2 linked regions of the Drosophila melanogaster genome follow. The protein of the gene in region 2 interacts with the protein of the main gene of each other region in a pairwise test. Each region holds a gene or a part of one and is shown on either strand. Other genes may lie near its edges.

What was found. Proteins that work in one complex are often made in the same cells at the same time.
Region 1: the proteins of Acn (region 2) and cass interact in a two-hybrid assay, tested with the Drosophila melanogaster proteins (2 studies listed by BioGRID).

Annotation. Positions count from the first base shown.
Region 1 is NT_033779.5:17,474,412-17,479,572, forward strand, and holds cass (cassowary), read right to left. Parts: upstream 3,478-5,161; 5' UTR 3,307-3,477; coding exon 3,238-3,306; intron 3,150-3,237; coding exon 2,988-3,149; intron 2,816-2,987; coding exon 2,282-2,815; intron 2,207-2,281; coding exon 2,006-2,206; intron 1,951-2,005; coding exon 1,748-1,950; intron 1,686-1,747; coding exon 1,499-1,685; intron 1,432-1,498; coding exon 1,177-1,431; 3' UTR 501-1,176; downstream 1-500. Other genes in the region: Sgt (small glutamine-rich tetratricopeptide containing protein), read left to right, coding at 1-172; fws (four way stop), read right to left, coding at 4,124-4,702, 4,761-5,161. UniProt on the Drosophila melanogaster protein: Antiapoptotic factor. Also known to efficiently suppress E2F1-induced apoptosis.
Region 2 is NT_033779.5:19,040,844-19,049,317, forward strand, and holds Acn (acinus), read left to right. Parts: upstream 1-4,511; 5' UTR 4,512-4,723; coding exon 4,724-6,204; intron 6,205-6,308; coding exon 6,309-6,519; intron 6,520-6,576; coding exon 6,577-6,811; intron 6,812-6,872; coding exon 6,873-6,982; intron 6,983-7,070; coding exon 7,071-7,253; 3' UTR 7,254-7,974; downstream 7,975-8,474. Other genes in the region: mib2 (mind bomb 2), read left to right, coding at 1-279; Catsup (catecholamines up), read left to right, coding at 1,103-1,481, 1,537-2,507; Ttc19 (tetratricopeptide repeat domain 19), read right to left, coding at 2,777-3,040, 3,093-3,240, 3,311-3,474, 3,527-4,060; CG10470 (uncharacterized protein), read left to right, coding at 8,332-8,392, 8,444-8,474.

The DNA of each region.
Region 1 (5,161 bases), 1.6 Mb from region 2:
GATCATGAACACCATTCGCCAGCAGTTCGGCGGCGGCAATGCCCCGACCCTGCCCAATGACATGGTGCAAATGATCTATAACATGACCAGCCAATTGACTGGCTTTCCCAATTCGAACGCAAATCCTGGCAATGAACAGCAGCCGGGCAATCAGCCACCACCGAGCACCTAGAAGTGGATAGAATCCCGATCCCCGATCCCTGCCTGGATCGGCGGCACACAGATTAAGTTGTTAAGCTGAAACTATAAATGTATTTATAATGTTTAAATGGCTTCTATTACGCATACATACATACATACATATACATTTTTATCCAATGGAAATAAATAAATGACCGTGCAAATTGCCGCTGTTCCAATCGAATTTTCAATGAATATTAAATATATATATTATAATGCCTCATATATTTTTCTAGTTGCCCGTCGTTAACAAAATTAAACAAGTATATCACACAGTGCATGTAATTTAATGTTGCTTTTATTGAATTCAAGAAATGTATGCTAGGGGTTTTTTTTTTGCTGATTTGCATCTCTAAATGGTACAATTGTTAATTTGATATTACATGTCAAATAAAAACTAATGGGTTTAAAACAAATGCCGATCTGTCGCAAACAGTTTGTCGCTTGAAAATCATTATCTTCAAAGCGGTCAACTTGAAAGTAGGTTTTATATTGATATTCGTTCACTTGGTTATTGGTATAATCTTATATTTATGCGTTTGACAGAATTGAAGGTAAAAACAGGAGTGATATAAATTTCAAACAATGCCAGCGCCTTTCTTTTGGGAAATGTATGAAAAGAAGGCGTGGCGTGTTTTGGAAAATTGCACAAGTACTTTAGCGAAAACAAATGTTATAACGAAAATAATAAAAGCAATGCGTGAGTGTATGAGTAAAATGGATGTAAAAATGTTGCATTTAATTTCCATGAAAATATGTTGCGCTGAAAGGAGACAAAGGGGAGAAAGTTAAATGAAAATTGCACGGAATACTCACCACTTTCGTTTTGTTTCCTTTAAAATTGCTTGGCTGCAGCATCGCAACAGTTGTGTTTATTCTGCTCGCATCCAATATCTTGTTTTTGTTTTTTTTTTTTTTGTATGTCTACGGACTAGGGACAAACCATTCAAGTGAAGTGTTCTTTGCTGCTCTTCTGCCTCACGATTGATTCTTTACTTAGTACTTGTTGAATCGCCTGTTTCTGTAGCCTCCACCGCTGCCGCCACCGCCGCCGCCGCCACGTTGTCTCGTGCGATTGTTGTTTCCGTAGCTCTGGTTGACCTTGTTGGAGTATTTTCCAGATGGCGGCGAGTAAAACTTCTGATCGTTGGATGGCCGCGATTTCTTCTCTGGCTCCTGATCCTTATCCTTGCCGTTAGCAGCGGCTTTCTCCCCAAAAGTGATGGGTGCATGACGCTTGCCCAGCTTGTTCTGAACGCACAAGAATATTGCATTGTTTATAAATATATCAGCTGTAAGAGATAACTTGTGTGCTTACATTTTTTGGCACAATCCAGGAGAGCACAATGTCATGTTTGAATATGGGCGGTGAATGAAATAGATCCCGGATCAGAATGTTGATGTTTGATGTCGTCTTCAGTGCCGTCTGCTTCAGTTGGTTCTCCTCCGTTTTGAGCTCCTCTCCCGTCTTGCCTTTGAGCGACTCCTCCAGTTTCTTAATATAACTACAAGGCAAGTATTATAAAATAAATTATGTAAACAGAATAAAATTTTTGCAAGAACCTACCCCTGTGTTCCCCTTGCAAGATATTGCAATCTAGCTCGAAAGTCTTTTAGTTTCTCTGCATCCTCGACGAAACTTAAACTATTTGGATGATTTTTTCCAAGAGTGTGCAATGCGTACAGTAAGCACTCGGCGTGCGAAAACTGAAACGAGGGCGGTGTATCTCCCAGATCCTCGTCACTCAGCTTTGGCAAAGGCATGTATTCCTGGAAATTGTTTACATGTTATTCGCTCAATTTCGAATGTACCAAGTACACTTACCAGCAATACATTGTAGACTGCATTAATCCGTTCGCTGGCATTGTCCAGCTTGTCTGTGTTGGTTATCATCTCGGCGAATACCTTTAGTAATCTAAGTTGGATTTGATCTTGCGAAACTGCAGTGGCGATCATGTTCCAGGTCTTGATGGGCAACAGTTTATCGCAAACGTGAGCCACGAAGGCCGTGGATTTGATGGTTTTCTATAGGAATGGCAAGAGATTCGATTTAAATGCTCGCCAGGGGTTCGATTTCATGTGCAGCTATTGGAAACTTACCGAAAAGTAAGGAGCCGCAGCAGAGGCGCACTGAATGAATCGCTCCACCACCTCGTCGTCGACGGCTATGATGTCCGCGTCTGTGTTATTTAGCTCCGCCTGCTCCGTGGCCAGCTTGACGAGCTCGGCGTGTCCCGTGATGGTGCTTCCCAGTTTGGTGGCTCCCAGAATTGTCATGCACAGATGAAACTCATCGGCAGTGACATCCTGCAAAGCCTTTTTGATCTCCTCCACGATATAGTCCTCGATTTCCTTGGTAATAACTGTGGGACCCATGGTCAGCAGCTTGGTGGCAATGAACTTGAGGCAGCGCTCCCTTGTCGTTTCATCCCCAGTGGAGATTTGCTGAAACAATCCGGCGATGGAGCTCTTGGTGTCCAATTTTATGATGGCCAGCAGTGAGTTGTTGACCTGCTGGAGTTCTGTGGGATCGTCCAGGATTAACAGCTGGGCCAGAGTATCACCCACTCGGATGGTAGCATCTGCGTTTCCCTGGCACAGTTTCGGCAGATCTTTGATGGCCTGGCGGCGGATCTACAAGGATGATAAAGATATTTAGTTTGTGGAATATGTGGGATATCTTAAGCTGTCAAGATACGGAGCAGGATTACAGGGGATTTCGATTTATTTACACACATCAGCTGCATACAGGCCAAAAATTCCGAGCCTATTGTATCAGCTGGGTAACTTTATGGCACCCACTCACCTGTGTGTCGTCATCCTCGCACAAATCAAACTGCGCGTCTATGGCTGTGTCGGCCAAATCCGGAAAGTGTTTGAAGAAGTTACCAATGAACTGCGATGCCAGGCGCTTCTCCTTCGACGTGCCCTTCACGGCCTTGAGTATCTCTTTATATTCATCCACATGCTGCAATTCGAAAAAAACATGCATATATATATTAGACCATGTATCATATACCGTTTTTTTTTCGGCACGTTTTGCAATGGCGGCATACTTCGGATATTTTATCGCCCGCCTCGGACAGAATCTCGTAGCATTTGTACAGTCGCTCTATGTTGTCCATCTTCTTGGCCAGTGGTACGCACTATATTTGCAGAGGTTTCAAGCGTCTATAGTTTACTTTACACAGTTTTCGTTGCAGTTAAATTGGATGACAGCGTTTCTCAAATGAGAGTTTTTCACGTTGCAAACAAAATGGTGAGCACGGGGGAGTGACCAGATCTCGAGACAGTAAAAACCCAGATGGATATCGATATACCGTTGGGAAAAATTTGTACTACCGTTATTCAGAATACACATCGATAGTTAGAACAAGTTATTAGTACCGTTATTCTGAATACGCATCGATAGTTTAAAAAAGTTATTACTACCGTTGTTTTGAATGCCTATTTCAAATCGATATAAATGTGAAAAATATATAAATACCGATATTCCGGAGGAACTATTTCCAAACGATGTAGTGATATATTTTTATTTGAAATCCTCTTAATGTTAATGACGAATAAGTAAGAATTATTCTTTTAATACGAAACATCTTCCAAAATGTGTCTTTTGAGTAAGTACCAGTATCATTTATATTAACCATGGAATTCCATTTATTCATATAGCGCCAGCCAAAACTGCCTACCAAAATTAATTTAATCAAATGACAATATGACACAACCTCGCATAATTTCAATTTTAAGCCTCTAGCCTCAAGTTCTCACTGCTATCATTATTCCACTCAATAAGTTATTCTAAGAAACTCATTAGCTTCATTTAGCGGAAGGAACTGAGTACAATGATTTAATAGAAGGATGCCATGCATATGTTTATTCCAAACATATTCGTGCTCTTACATACATACATACATAGTTCTAGATACATAATACATTAGACATTTATGGAAGTGCCTTTAAGGCCTGTTCAAAATAATCTACCATCATGGGGTAAACTTCGTCGTACTGCTGAATGTTCTTTCGCCTGGCATTGTCCCGATACCGTTGCAGTGCCCCCGAGATCAGCTCTAGTTTCTCCCGTTCAGCCGTGTGCCCATCCAGCCATTCGATCAGCCGCTCATTGGACCAGTTGGCCGTCGTGTGTGGCGACTGCAGATCTGCTCCAGCGTGTCCGAAGAGCAGCAACAGCACTATGTAACTGGGCACTAGAGAGTCCTCGCCGATTGTCTGCTTGACCAGCTCCTCGGCCGTTTGGACGATCAGCAAGGACATGGCTCTTAGCAGACGCGACGGCTTTCCCAGCTCGGCGAGATTTGGGCAAAGAGGTTTCAACGCCTGTTCCATGTGTTGACAGTCTTGCTTCAAACGCTGCCTTCCGCAGGAGCTTAAAGGTCGCAGAATGCACACATTGTGCAGGAAGAGCTCAATGCAACGTTTGGCCAACTCGTGTCCGCACTTTTTCGTCATCTGCTTGTCATCGAACAGGGCGATGTGATGCGACCAGGATCGGTTGACGAACTCCTAATAGTTTGATTGAGACATATGACTAGCCAAGTATTACATTCAAATTCCCACCCACCTGCAGTTCCTTCATGTACATCGACGGACCTGTGGTAGACATCCTCTCCGAATTCAATCCCGGCTCCCTGTGCATACTCAATACAATGATGCTAATGGTCGTGATAATCGACTCCATTATCTGCTGTAGAATGGTGCCGATCAGTAAATCAGCCTGTTCCAAGGATCGGGATATAATCTCCCTAGCTGTTCCCGGTGTCTTTTCAAAGTGCACATGAAGATCACTGAGCATGCGACGCACTGAATCCTTATAGTAGAACAGAACATTCGCCAGCTGGGTGTTTTGCTGCTGCTGCAGATTGGGCAGATCCACGACCTGCTTGGAATCAGCTCCCAGCTTGATTTGAGCCTCTAGTTTTGTGCACAACTCTTTTCCACAGGCCGCAAATACATTTGCTATGG
Region 2 (8,474 bases):
ATCGAGCGGCGATTGACGGTCAGCGGCCGAGTGGTGGCCCTGCCCACGTCCACGTCGTCACCTAGTGACCCCACTCGCCTACCGTCCGGGGATCTACTTCGCTATCTGGAGAACAAAGTGCTGGAGTTTGAGGAGTCGCACTTCTGCGGTATTTGCATGGAGCGAAAAAGGGATGTGGCCTTCCTGTGCGGGCACGGCGCGTGCTCCCATTGTGCCGAAACGCTCCGCACATGCCACATGTGTCGCAAGACAATACTCAAGAAGATCAACCTGTACTGAACGGCGGTAACGGAAACGAAAGAAAAGCAAAGGCGGCAGGATCAGCAGCAATTCAAACAGCAACCAAAGTGGCTTGTATATATACATACACAAAACAAACACACACTCACATTGCCGTGTCATGTGCAAATCGAAATTATTATTTATTGATCACAAACGAAATTTACGAGTTCTTTTTTAATCGGTTCATCATCGGCATCGTCGCAACACGCAACAAATTAATGTGCACCTTCTCGTGTCTAGTTATTAGCCCCGTTTAACCATGTCTGGTAACGATAAATACATAGGAAACTAACTAAAGCATACAAATATTTAATAGTCATTTAAATGCAAATATACAAATATAAAATTATTTAATTGAGTGAATTTCAATCGATGTCGGTGGTTAGCCTACAGAAAATAAAGATACTTTATTTCTGAATATGCTGGGGTGACTTTTAATTGTATTGGTATTTAAAAGGTTTAGTTTAAAATTGAATATATAATAAGTTTAGAAAGATTTTAAAACTGAAATGTTGTAACGGCAAAGTGTGAACAAGTTATTTTCTTTCAGTACGCTGCATAAATTTTAAATGTTTTGCATTTTTGTAAGCATTGACTTGGCAAGCTGTCGGATCTTAAGCTCCGTTTAAAAGTTAATGTAAGCAAAAGCGGCAAAGTACAACTTATAATTGAAAATATACACAAGTTTATTTTTTATTTGAGCGAAACAATCGATACCTCCAGATTTACACGCTAATCGATAACAACGTAGCCAGAAAAAAAGCAAACACGTCACAACACTTTGGCCGCAGTCCGACGCGAAACTAAAGTAAAGGACAAAATGGCCAAACAAGTGGCTGATTACCAGTGCAGTAAGCTCCAGTTGTACCAAAAGCTGGCACTGGTCGTAATCCTGGGAGCAGTGCTTTTCTCGCTCCCGGCGTTGTGCGCCGGCCAGGGCAATCCCAGTTTCAAATACTCGCGGGAAGCCAACGAAAACTTCGATCCGCAGAAGGCTCCACGGGCGGAGCACCATCATCATCATGATCATGACCACGATCATGGACACCACCACCACGGGCACGATCATGATCATGACCACGACCACGGGCATGATCATGGACACCATCATCACGGGCACGATCATGATCATGACCACGACCACGGACACCATCATCACGGGCACGATGAAAGGCACACCAAGGCAAAGCCGGATTTGGGTAATCAACGAACTACCACTCTTAAAATGCCCGAGTTGACCCAAATTTCTTATAGATATGAGCACCATTTGGTTGCACTCGATCGGCTCAACTCTTCTTATCAGTGCCGCTCCCTTCGTGCTGCTGTATATCATTCCCCTAGACAACAGTGAGGCGATGAAGCCGCGTCTCAAAGTGCTTCTGGCCTTTGCTTCTGGCGGTTTGTTGGGTGATGCCTTTCTGCACTTGATTCCTCATGCCACGCATCCACACAGTCATGGAGAACACGGCCACGATCACGGCCATGATCACCATCATCATCATGATGGCGAGGAGCATGAACATGGTCACAGCCACGATATGAGCATTGGTCTGTGGGTCCTTGGAGGAATCATTGCCTTCCTTTCAGTGGAGAAACTGGTACGCATTCTAAAGGGCGGTCATGGAGGACACGGCCACAGCCATGGAGCACCAAAGCCAAAACCAGTGCCTGCTAAGAAAAAGTCCTCTGACAAAGAAGACAGCGGAGATGGAGACAAACCGGCAAAGCCAGCCAAGATCAAGTCCAAGAAACCAGAAGCGGAGCCAGAAGGCGAAGTGGAGATTTCCGGCTACTTGAATTTGGCGGCGGACTTTGCTCACAACTTCACCGATGGCCTGGCCATCGGCGCCTCCTATTTGGCGGGCAACAGCATTGGCATTGTGACCACTATCACTATTCTGCTGCACGAAGTGCCCCATGAGATTGGTGACTTTGCCATTCTTATAAAGTCTGGCTGTTCCAGGCGAAAGGCAATGCTTCTGCAGCTCGTCACAGCGCTCGGAGCTTTGGCGGGCACAGCGCTAGCTCTTCTGGGAGCTGGAGGCGGGGACGGATCGGCCCCATGGGTCTTGCCCTTCACAGCCGGCGGTTTTATTTACATCGCAACAGTGAGTGTCCTGCCGGAGCTGCTTGAGGAGTCTACGAAACTGAAACAGTCGCTGAAGGAAATCTTTGCGCTGCTAACCGGCGTAGCCCTAATGATCGTTATCGCCAAGTTCGAGTAATATCAAAATTGTGGAAAGTTAACACAAAAAAGATCTAATTGCATGTACTGAAAGTGTGCCGCAAACAATTTGAAAGATTTCTGTTCGTTACCTACTCAAAACGATGAGCAACTACTTAAATTTCTTATATTTCAACAGTCAGTAACCGCTATTAGTTCCCAATATAAACAATGCGGCGTTATTTAAGATTTTTTAAGCCTTCCAAATTTGTGCTTCACTTCGAAATGAAATTTTTATAAATAGTCAAAATTACACTGTAAAAAGAATCCTCACTGGCGCTTCTCTCCATTCAGGGTTGTCTTTATCTCGTTGAGACAATACTCGGCCTGCTCTACGGCATCGGGATTCTGGTGTTGCTTTCCCAGTTTCCACGCCAGTCGGCAAGCGTTCTCCGCCTGCGACATCAGGCCCTCGCGAAGATACACCAAACCCAGATTTGCCTGCAGAATGCCTTCCTGGGTGGCATCCTTTAGCTCCTTAGTCAGCTCCATGGCCTCCAAAAGGGTCTCCCTTGCCTCGGCGTACTTTTCCAGCTGTAATTAGTCTAATGTGTTTCAAGTACTTTGGAAGAATAGACGCACCTACGTTTACGTACGCCACACTGATGTTATTTAGGATGGTTACAGAGGCGTCGTTAACGGCACCATAAACATTTATGAGCGTGTCGAAGGCCTCCTTAAAGAGGTTTTTAGCCTCCAGGTATTTTCCCTGCTTCATCAGCAGCTGCCCGAACCTGGAAAATAAACATAAGGAAAAGTATTGAAAAAAGGCTTGGTTAGCGGCAATGGAAACACCTTCAATACCAATTCTTTGTCAAGCCATACAGCTCCAGTATGTCCTTGTCGTCGGGCATTTTCTCCAGTAGCTTAGCCAACTGCTGCAAGGTCCAAGTGAACCCTTGAAAGCTCTTTTCCAGATCCCCTTGCAGCTGAGACATGTGTGCTATCTTGGAGCTGATGTGAAGTATCTAAAGATGAAAGAGATCTTAACTGGTTATGGTGTCTAAGTGGGTCACCCACCTTGGGACTCTCTTCGGTGTGACCCTCGGCAAAAAGCCGTTTCATAACGTCCGTGAATATCTTCTCCGCCTTCTTAAACTGCTCGCGTTCCATGGCCAAATTGGCCATCAGATCAAACACATATGTGATGCCGTCCTTGCTCTGAATATCCTGCGCCATTCGCAGAGCCAGGTGAAGCATTTGCTCGGCCTTGTCGTACTGTTCCCTCTGAATGCACAGGATTGATCGTTTGATGGTCTTGATCAGTTTTTCCTCCGGAGTTTCCTCTTTTTCGTCGGCGCCACCAAACAGATTCAGAGTGAAAGCAGCGGAAAATGCCCAAAACATTCCACCGGAAGAGCCAGAAGCGGGCGGAGCTGCCCAGGACACCTCGTAGCCCGCAGCATTGGAGCACAGCGGTCGACATCCGAATTCTGACCGTTGGTGATAACGGCTTCTCTTCAGCGGCGCAAGATGACAGTAATCTCTGGGATTCACGACAACGCGGAACCTGCCCATAACTTGCGTAAACTTGCAAATATTTCTCACTAACATGTTTAGGGCTTTATTAATTATTTAACTAAAACCTATAATGTTGCAGGTATGGTATTAAAAATTATGAAATAGCACGTATGTAGTGTTGCAAAGCGCGGTAAAGACGTTTTAAAAGTACATTTCGTAACGCTTGATTAAGAACATAGAAGACTTTTAAATAATTTCTACTCTATCATACTTTCGCAAATATATTTATGTTTCGTTAAGATTTCGTAAACAAAGGTTTTTAAATTTTTTAGAGATGACACTGTCAAACAAAACTTTATCGGCAACTTTGGTACCTAACATTTCGTTCATAAGTTAAATCTGCGAACAAAAATAAATTGATAAGTAGAGTTATTAACAATCTCGAATAAAAAACATTTAAGTACATTTGATAAAGTTTTTCGTAATAAGGTACTTCCTTCCCCCATCGCATACGATACTATCGATAGCCGTCAGCGGGGCGATAGACCGAGAGAAAGCATCCCTGTATATTGATGGCGGATTGACGCTCTTTCGCCTAGTAAAATTATTTTTCTTATCAAGAAAAGGTGCAGAATATAACGAGGAGTGAATTCGCAAAGCAGTGCATGAAATAGCTGTGGGTCCGCCGGCTGTACCTACGTTTTATTTCAGATCTTTCCAGCGTCGCAGCGAGTTTCCAGCGATTTTCGGACAGCCATGAGACGTCGCAGCGAGCGAAAAAAGTCGTCGTCGCCCGCTCCGGTGCCGGTGGCAGTTGCACGGAGAAGTCGCCGCTCCCGCAAGGTGTCGGAGAACGAGAAGACCGAGGTCGAGACTCCGGTCGTGGCCCAAAATAATGAGGCCGAATGCCCCAAAGTACCGCCAGCCTCTCAAGAAATCAATGAGGCGCGGGCATCCAGTGAAGAACGTGCCGGATCTGGAGCATCGCCAGTGCGCAGGAGTCGCGGCAGCCGGACGACGCCTAGAAAGCGCACGGAGTCCAAGGGCGGCGACAAGAAGGTGGACACCATACCCGAGGAGGAGCCGGAGAATGGAAAGGATGTTGAAAAGGACGCTGTCGAGGAGGAAAAGACTGTAGCGCCACCCGCGGCTAATGAGAGCGAGTCCGAGGACCGTGCCAAGACGGAGGATCAGCAGGCTCAAGACGATGAATCCTGTGCTGAACCCGCTGTAGTCAAGGATGATGATGTTGAGAAAGAGGACTTAAAACCGCAGCAGGAGGTCCCCACTTCCACTGATGATGACACCAAGCAGAGCGAGCCAGAACAAGAGGTAAAGGTTCCTTCTCCTTCCAGCAAGGATGAGGAACATCTAAAAACGACTAGTGATGTATTAGACATTCAGACAGAAGAGGTCGATGAAAGGGACGAAGAAGCCTCCGCTCCTGCGGAGCGCAGAGAAACCAAGAAGAGGCACAAGGAGCAGATAAAGGAACAGCAACCCGCAGAGGAGGAGGAACACAAGGAAAACCACAAGCAGATAGACGAAAACCCAGAACAAATTCACGATGAACCAGCAGATCTTTCGAACGACAAGCACGATCCATGTCTAAACAGCAGCGCAACCAACACAACCGGTGCTCCAGTTCTGCAGCAACAACGGTCGGTGCGGAAGCGAAAGTGGCTGACTAACAAAAAGTCTTCGGATCGTACCCCGCCCGTGCTTGCCATTTCGACGGATTCCCTGAAGAACATTATAGCCGATGTGGTGCAGCCAGTGCCCCTAAGCGATGTGCAACTGGAATCGTCCTCAGAGGAGGAAGGCCTGGTCACCAGCGATCGCGATTCAGAGCGATCTGCTTCACCGGCGCCCCCATCTGAAGCAAGCAAAGACCGCGATAACAAGGGCAATACCGCCAACACCTGCGACACCACCGCAGAGGCGTCGGCAGATAATGAAGGAGCAGGAGCCGCTCCTCCAGCAGCAGCAGACACGGTTTCAGCCCAGGTCAGCCTGAGCAAAGCCACAGTTTCCACGGCAGCACCACACATAGTCCGTGACCCTAGTCCTGCTCGAAACCGCGCCAGCCACGTGCTCTATATCACCAATTTGGTACGCCCCTTCACAGTGCTGCAGCTGAAAGGCCTGCTGGCGCGGACGGGAAAGATCGTTGAGGAAGATGGTTTCTGGATAGATCGGATCAAGTCTAAGTGCTATGTTGCCTATTCCACTGAAGAGTAAGTATTGTAGTTGCGCAAATAGAACCTAATCTCCAGGGAGTCAGTGAAATATGCCTATAAAAAACTCACACTTGCAATTATTTTGCTTTTCAACCTTTAAGCGAGGCCATCGAAACCCGACATGCCCTGCACGGAGTTCGCTGGCCAGTGTCAAATCCCAAATGTTTGAATGTAGATTTTGGCAGTCGCACTGATATGGATCGGGCAATACTTTCAACGAAGGACGAGGCTCCGAGGTACGGGCAGGAAAACACCAGAGATAACCAGCAGTCGGGCAACGCTTGGTCCCGGTTGGAACCGTCTGACAAAAAAGTAATGGATTATTATCACAGCATAGAAATGCGGAGCTAACTTGTCTTTTTCCTTCAGCCTGCGCGACCTGTACGCGAATGGGATGTTGGCAAAAAGGAACCAAGCGACCACGACAAACACAGCAACGACAGGCGTCGGGACAGCAAGGATCGACTGGACTCGAGGTCTAGGGATGCGGAGCGAGCCGGACAGGAACGAAAGCGTTCTAGGGACAGAGAGGGGCGAGGACGCGATCGGGAGCGGGAGCGACTTGATCGCAATGCACATGCAAGGAGCCGCAGTGGATCGCCAGGTAAAGCCCGTGGGATACATTTTCCTGTCATGAGAAATTCAAAAACACCCCGTTTAAATAGCGTCCAAAACTAAGAAGGAGAATGAACCGCCTATCAGACTACTAGATGATCTATTTCGAAAAACCAAGGGAACACCTTGCATATACTGGCTGCCACTTACGCCGGAAGCGGTAAGTTGCTGAGATAAATAGTTCCAATCAACGAGAATCACTTCTAGACCAAGTCCGCCTGAACAATAAAATTTCTTCCGGCTTTCAGATCGCAGAAAAGGAGGCATTCCGTCAGAAACGCATTGAGGAGCACAAGCTGCGTATTAAGGAACGGGAGGAGCGCCAGAAAGAGCGGGAGAAGGATCGTGACCGCCAGCGCGAGACGCGTCGCAATCGTTCCAACGAACGGCGACGATCTCGCAGTCGCGAGCGGGAGCGAAGACGTTACTAGGCGGAGGCTTGAGATTGAGCAAATAAATGTTGATATCTCAAAAACTAAATCAACATATAAAAAAAAACTTCAAGAAACAGCAACTAAAACTTCAGCAGGGTCTCATCACCACCCGAATAATTTCAATTCTTTTCTTTCGAGCGTTTTGCGTTCCCAATTAGGCCGACGTTTGTAATATTCAACTTGAACTGAACCGACTTCAAATTGAATACTTTCGCCAACGTCTCATCCACATTCTGATTTTGAGATTTCAAACTCTCTTTTCTTCGTTATTTTTCTCATTGTTGTTGTTCCATATATATATAGCATATATATTTCCATATATATATATATAACCTGATTTGATTTCTTTCCTCAAATGTAGCATTTTACAGCGCCTAACGTCACCTCACCCCAAAACGAAACCACAGCAACCAGAAATGCGCCGGCATCAGATCAGCATCAACGCCATGGAAACTTACCATCGGACTCTTGAAACTACTGCAGCAAGTTACCATGCTTATATCTATTCAATAAACAAACATAAAATAATTGATTAAAATATTGTAAAATCAAATATTTCTTAAAATTTTAATGAACTTAGAAATACAATTTAACATCAGTCGGCAAGCTTGTGACAATGCCAAAACCCAAAAATGTGTTTTAAATGTCTGAGAAATATGCTTATCGCACGACTTATTCGAACAGAAAAAGAAAAGAATGTAATTCCTCAAAATTATAGAAAATGTTTTTGATTCGTAAGAATCATGGTATTTAGAGCATATTATTATAATTTTAATACTCTTTAATTTATATATAAGGTCAGATTTATAAAGTATGAACTTTTTGCCATTTATTTACTTTTCCTTATCAATTTTTAGTAAAAACACTGCTTTTATTAATAATCGCGAGTCTAATTTATTGATTAAACTTAAAAAAGAATAAATGAAGTTGTCCGTTAAAGTACCAGAATACCCCCAACAATAAGTTCGTTTTAATCGATAGTCCATGTTAATAAGCTATCGGAGCCGCTTAATGATTTATGTCAATAGTGCTATCGATGAGTTTTAATTTGTATTAACATTAATTTAGTGAAAAAATGTGGTCCGACACAATATTAATTGTTTTTATATCGGTTTGCACCGCCTTCCTGGGCGAAGGTAAGTAAAACGCCAGTTAATTTAGTTAACCCTACATATTTGTTTGCCTAGGTCTTACATGGGTGATGGTTTACCGGACGGA